Arabidopsis thaliana: one gene and its partner. The protein of the gene in region 1 interacts with the protein of each later gene in a pairwise test. Each region holds a gene or a part of one and is shown in the gene's direction. Other genes may lie near its edges.

Evidence for each region. The genes of interacting proteins can lie anywhere in the genome.
Region 2: the proteins of AT1G56150 (region 1) and NET2C interact in a two-hybrid assay, tested with the Arabidopsis thaliana proteins (one large-scale study listed by BioGRID).

Annotation. Positions count from the first base shown.
Region 1 is NC_003070.9:21,015,246-21,018,669, forward strand, and holds AT1G56150 (SAUR-like auxin-responsive protein family), read left to right. Parts: upstream 1-2,065; 5' UTR 2,066-2,186; coding exon 2,187-2,519; 3' UTR 2,520-2,877; downstream 2,878-3,424. UniProt on the Arabidopsis thaliana protein: Plays a role in the regulation of cell expansion, root meristem patterning and auxin transport.
Region 2 is NC_003076.8:3,303,128-3,306,886, forward strand, and holds the start of NET2C (Kinase interacting (KIP1-like) family protein), read left to right. Parts: upstream 1-2,159; 5' UTR 2,160-2,290; coding exon 2,291-2,384; intron 2,385-2,459; coding exon 2,460-3,759. Other genes in the region: MSL2 (MSCS-like 2), read right to left, coding at 1-84, 419-579, 659-715, 801-878. UniProt on the Arabidopsis thaliana protein: Plant-specific actin binding protein. May be part of a membrane-cytoskeletal adapter complex.

The DNA of each region.
Region 1 (3,424 bases):
TGTGAATACAACATTGATAATTGTGCACATCCATAAGGTTAAGTATAAATATATGTTATAATTATTATGTAAACGTTCATATAAATTAATGGTGCTTATCAATTTTAGTAACAGAAAGGAGATGAGATAATAGAAGAAATAGGTTGAGATGCTGAAGAAATCAGAGAAGGAAAGGAAGAAGAAAGGAGATGATGAAGAAGATAAACATTCTTGAGTTCTTAATCGATAAACGTTTACCAAGCAAGACAACAAACTTAAATAGAAAGCAATACTAAGAATAACAGGCTTTAAACAATATAAAGCCCACAAGCCCAATTCATGACCTATCAGTGTCAGGTTGGAAAACTTTGTTGAATCTCTAGGTTTTTCTCTTGGTTTCTCTTAACTTGATGAGGACATTTAATTTCTTGTATCAGTGATCTCAATATTTCGGAGTCTTATTTTCTTTTAAAAATTTCACTCGACAAACATATGAATGTTCCAATATGAAATCGATGATACTAAACTCATAAATTGAAATTTTCACAGTAGAAATTCTATTTTTTTTTTAATCGATTACTAATAATTAAGGCCCAAGAACTCATTAAGAATCTGTCTTCTTCGTTGTTCAAGTCAGTTAAATAGAACTGTTAGTGCAGAGAGCTGTCTGTAACGAACAACTAAATCTTCTCATATTATTTAGTTATTCATTATAAAATTCTGGCTTGACAATCTCTCTTGGCTATTATTATCAAAGTCCGACTGAAATTTTGACTACATAACTAACAGATATTTCACTGGCCTTGAGCGAGGCACAAACTAGTGGTCTACTTTTAGAGATCACCGTGGTGAAATGTTTGATTTCAAGATTGTGTTTATGGAACAATGATGGAACTTAACTAGAGACTTCGAGCTAACAATGTTTTAGGATCAAGTATTCAAATTGATTCAGTTAGATAAGATTTGGTTGTATGATTGTCTAAATGATTTTTATTTGATGTGTGAGGACAAACTCATATCCAAAATTCTCATGGTATTAAATAAGAAACATAAATGTCGAAGTTGAAAGCAAAGTGTCCGTAGCATGGAGCGTACGGCTGGACAGTTGGGGCAGCCCACGCTTTCGCATTTAAACCATTGCTAATTTGCTATATATCTATACACACTATTTGAGTAACTCCGGAAGAGTTATATATTAATTGACCAGTAGTGATTACTCGCAAGTAGCACAACGTCTGTTAAATTATTGAGTATGTAAATGCAACTTTTACCAAACTAAACTTCACTTTAAAACGTTGTATGAACTATGAAGCAAATAGTGGTGTTCTCTATGCAGTACCTAATAAGAAAATCATCATTTCAAAGAACAGATACATGCATTTAATTTTAGAAGAAAAGTCGTGTTGGTATTATTGGTATGACACGTAAATGGAAGAAATATAAAGTCAGTTGGTGGGTCATTCTGTACGAATGGACCATAGTACGGCGTTTATTTCCCCCAAAATTCATTAATTTCACTAACTCATCTTTAGAAAGCAGTACTATATCCGTATTTATCATTTGGATTATATATAACCGCATGCACTAATAGACTTGACACTGTTCTTCCTTCTACTACGTTTGCAATAATAAAAACAACCATGCAACAACTTTTTAAAAGAACATTAATCATGCATGGTTTCTAAAAATCTGTAAAAAGAGAGAAAAGAATAGTGACAAATTGACACTGCACGAGACATTCGGAGTCACGGAATTGTACATATTTTTGTACTGTCCCTGCTTCGTATACTCCAAGTACGTCCCCCGCAATTTACGCCTCTCTTTTCCTAATTCTTTTATGTTCCGTTGAAATATATAACCACATTTCAGACTGGATTTATCTATTTAAATTTATGAATTATACCATACATTTCCACGCAACATCTCTTTCACAACTTTTCCTATTGTCCACGGCAAATGCAGAGCGCTACGACCTCTTTTCCACGAAACCAAGAAATAAATATATTTATGACTGGACTTTTTTTCTTTTGAATCGGACTTGTCTACTTTAATTCACAAAATTAAAAATATATGTTAATAAGTGTACCTAGCAAGTACAACACTTTTCCAGTTTTACCCTCGTCTCTCTATTTATAAGACCTTCTCACTCTCTTGAGTCTTGCCTCTTGTAAATCACACTACTCGGCTCTTTAGAGGTTCTTTGGACGATGAAACAACTAATCCGCCGTTTATCGCGTGTCGCGGACTCAACACAGTATAGCCTCCTCCGGTCTGAATCCCAGCGTGGCCGCACCAAGAAGGAGAAACACAAATCTTGGGTTCCCGAGGGGCACGTGCCTGTTTACGTAGGCCACGAGATGGAGCGGTTCGTGGTGAATGCGGAGCTGCTCAACCACCCCGTTTTCGTAGCGTTGCTGAAGCAGTCGGCTCAAGAGTATGGATACGAGCAACAAGGAGTGCTTCGCATCCCTTGCCACGTGCTTGTGTTCGAACGCATCTTGGAGTCTCTCCGTCTCGGACTCGCCGATCGAGTCACATGACCTACACGATCTCTTTTGAGATTTAAGAAGTTTCTAGTGTCTTATAGTATCTTGCTAGCTATAGGGGAAACAGAGTTATGTAAATTACATATTCTTTATCTAATTGGTTTATCAGATCTATTTGAAGATGGGATTATATATATAAGTGAAATAATCGAGATTTAAGGCTTTTATTTTTCTGGTTTTCATCAACACATGCATGAAGAATTTGGTTTGGAGAAACCGCCGCAAGATGTTTCCCATAAGTATGGCAACAGTATCATTAGCTTCTTCCCAAACTTGGGGGAATAGATAACCTCACAAAATCAATAGATAAGCTCACAGAAAAACAAAATGTGCCACTCTTTTTTTTTTTTTTTCCAGATAAGTAAGTGGCAGGGAGTATGTATGATCCCATGTTACTTCACCTCCACAACCACATTCGTAGTCACCCATATTTATTAGCTTTTGTATTTATTTTTTTCATTTTCTAACAAAGGATCAGAAACCGATCATACAGCTAATTTTATGTGATTGTGAATAATTAGAGTTTTTTTTATTATGAATCTAGATATATACAACAATCAATCATGATTAAAACCATACTATACAAATTCGAACTTTTGCTTACAAAAAAAAAAAAGATTCGAACATGGTTCATCAATCGGATGGTGAATTTTATGACCATAAGAATAACAAGAAAAATCTTACAAACCCCTCATTTATTACGTTTTCTATGTTTTTAATTAAATAAATTATGTTCTGCTATTAAATTCCCAAAATCGAACTACAAGAAAGTAATAAAAACATTATGATTATTGCATTCCCAAACCATACATTAGTGCTTCTCTGTTTCGCATTGTCAAAGTCACCATGGTCCACACGGCGATTGAAATCTACAATATACAATTATGTTAGAATCAGAA
Region 2 (3,759 bases), on another chromosome or scaffold:
AGACCCCACAGGGAGAAAACAAGAAGAGCAACAGCTGGAACCAATTTATATACAAAAGGGAATTGTTGCATCAACCCGTGTGACCTGCAAAAAACGGAATGCAAATAATTACAGAGTGCAATAAAAAAAGAAGAGAAATTACGAGAAACATAAATGCACCCCCTCAGATTTCCCCACCAAAAAAATTACAACTTCCCTAAGGGGAGCCATGGTAATGACAAGGCCTGCATACATCAATGTTTGGCTCAAGTCCACAATGTTTATGAGTAGAGTTAATTCATTCATTTTGAGTTAGATGCCCAAATATTACTATGCAATCATTCAGATCCATGAAGATCAACTAAATAAAAATAATGATAGTTTCCAATTTTACAAGGTGGTCATTCTGCATGTGATGATAGGAAACAAGGAGTCTTACTTTGTTAGCACCACGGTGACAGCTTTAACAGCAGGTTCAATTGCCTTGCCGCTTGCAGAAAAGGAATGACACCTAAAAGCGGTGGTTCTGCATGGAACTGAACAAATAGGCCTACGAAGGTAATTTGAGAGTAATATGTTGCTGAAACCATGTTGTCCCAACTATAAGCAGAAAAGTAATGTTACTAACTATCAGCAACCGAATTTGAAAGGCTAGAGTAAATTTTGTTTGAAATATTACCGGAACACCTAATGAGAGAGGACCATTTGATATATGCAGCCTCCTTCTCATGGCACTCTGAAAAATTGTACATTTTTCGAAAGATGAAGGGAAGAAATGATTAAAAGAAAAGGATGTCAGGGCTAAAATGGAAGAAACATACATTTTCTGGATTACAAAACCGTTGGTTTCTGCACAAACCCAGACTATGAGACAACTGCAATGTACCATAAAGGGCCATATTTTAATCAGATTCAATGACTTAGCCAGTAACGTTAGTGGCACCGATCATAAGCCTCACAGCCTAACGGAAAGAGACTAATGAATGCCAACACAAACTCTGCACCGTAGAAATGAAGCAGACCAGTTAAAACCTGTGTGTATGATTCAGATACAGCAAACAGTAGACCATTGAAAGTCTAGCTTCGGTGGGTGGAACAAAAAGTAGTAAAATTTGCATTTCTTAAACTTCCAAATCTCTCATTCACAAAACTGTGAGAATAGTTGAAGCAATTATAACCTATGGCAGTGTGATCCTTAAGATTCTTAGCAATCAACAAAATCTGCTACTGAACTGAGAACGAACTAGAGCTTACGAAAACACAAGACCATTCAATTTCGTCGGCGTGCCATATTCATTACCAGAGAGTAACCTAAAATCTACAACTTGGATTAAAATTCTCGATCACAATCCCAACTTAACTCAACTTAAAACAGCTAATTTTAACCTAATCTCATCTCGAGGAAACATCCAACATCAAAACTTACAAAGTTAAAATTCCTCATGAAAACCAGACGAAACCCGAATTCAAAAATCGGAGTTTACAATCGAAACTCGGTAAAGAACCATAAACATATTAAGGGTATAAAATACTTACCCAGTGAATCAAAAATCGAGGGAACAAACAAAATTCTAGGGTTTGAAGTCTTCTTCAGGGAGATTCTTCGAAGACAGGACGAACAAGGGGATTCGCATTTAGCAGACACAAGAAACGATGCCGTTTCGTATTGAGAAACGTTCCGTGTAAAGTGGAAAGTGGTGAACAAATTGCCACGTATTTCGACACGTCAGACTTGTTGCGGCTAATAGATTCGTATAAAAAATTGATGCTTGGGCATATTTATTTACAAAATCATCCTCATAGGAACGAATATAGAAAGAAAAACAAAGAACAAGTCCATGGTGATTTCAGGAATCAGGACCAACTATCAAATATAATGTACATATCTTAGAAATATCTTCTTAATGGAATGTCTATTTGTTTTTGCACTGTCCATGGTGATTTCAGGACCAACTATGATCTCACAATCTAATCTTAAAATAGAAGCCAAAAAAAAAAGAGGACGAGACTAGTTTGTTTCCGTTACCGTTTAATTAGTACGAGTATCAATGTATCATCAATCAACCAGCATTATGCTTTGGACTATTATTCAGATCCAATGTTGCATGTGTTTTAAATAGCAACTTATCATTAATACTATGTATCACCGAATCTTTCTCTACGCCATTCTCTATCAACAAGATTAACAACAATAATAACGAGAGAAAAAAAACACATCTCCTTTGGTTGTCATGAACGAAACCTCCAGAAAAAGATGAGATTTTGTTCAATTGATTGAAATTTTTTTCAAGAAAAAGATTAGAGAATAAAGATGCTACGAAGAGCTGCGAGCAATGCGTACTCCTGGTGGTGGGCAAGCCACGTTCGAACCAAACAATCCAAATGGCTTGAAGAAAACCTTCAAGGTTACATATTTTTACATTCCATATTATCATCATTTTTCACTTCTTCCACATATTTTTGATAAAATGTTTATGTAGATATCGAGGAGAAGGTGGAATATGCACTTAAGCTTTTGGAAGATGAAGGTGATTCATTTGCTAAGCGTGCAGAAATGTATTACAAGAGAAGGCCTGAATTGATAAGTTTTGTAGAAGAATCTTTCAAGGCTTATCGTGCTTTAGCAGAGCGGTATGATCATATCTCTAAAGAGCTTCAAAACGCCAACACCACAATTGCATCTGTTTTTCCTGACCAAGTCCCTGAGTTTGCCATGAACGAAGATGACGACGATGATGCTCCTGTCTCACCTAGACACCATAAAAATAAGACATCAAATAAGAATGTTCCAAAAGTTCCTGATTTGCCCATAAAAGACCCTGAGGCTGCCAAGAAGATGTTCATGTCAAGGAAAGCTATTCAAGAACAGAATGCCTCGTCCGTTGTTAACAAGTCCGGGCTGAGTAAAACCGAGGCGGTGGAAGAGATTGACAAGTTGCAGAAAGAGATTCTTGTTTTGCAAACTGAGAAAGAGTTTGTGAAGACTTCTTATGAGAATGGACTTGCAAAGTATTGGGAGATTGAGAAATGTATCATGGAGAAACAAGGGAAAGTTTCTAGTTTGCAAGACGAGTTTGACGAAGGTGCTGTTGTTATAGAAGATAAAGAAGCTCAGATATTGATGTCTACCACAGCTCTCAAATCATGCCAAGAGAAACTAGAAGAGCTGAGAGATAAACAGGAACAAAATGTGAAAGAAGTAGATGTTTCAAGAAAACAAATCAGTGAATCAACAGAGGAATTTGGTAATCTTTCTGATGCATTGCTTGGTGATGGGAAAGGAAACCATGAGATATACAGCGAGAAAGAGAAGTTGGAGTCATTAGGAGAAAAGGTAAATGATGAGTTTGATGACTCTGAGGCTAAGTCATGTCTTACTATTCCAGACGTGGCTGATAAAATCGATGAGCTTGTGAATGATGTGATCAATTTGGAGAATTTGTTCTCATCTCAAGCAGCTTTAATACACAGACTAAGAGAAGAAATCGATGATCTCAAAGCACAGATTAGAGCTCTACAAAAAGAAAACAATTCATCTCAAACTGATGACAATATGGACATGGGAAAGAAGTTGAAAGAGATGGAGGAAAAGGTGAATGGTGTTAAAGATATAGACCAAGAAGTTGAAGAAAAGAGTGACAACATTGATAAACATCTTACGAGAGCACATATGAAACTAAGTTTCTTATCCAAGAGATTAAAAAGCTTGACGCAAGAAGGGGAAGATGAAGAATTAAAGGCTACTAATGTGCCAATTCAAGATATAGGATCTTTGACTGA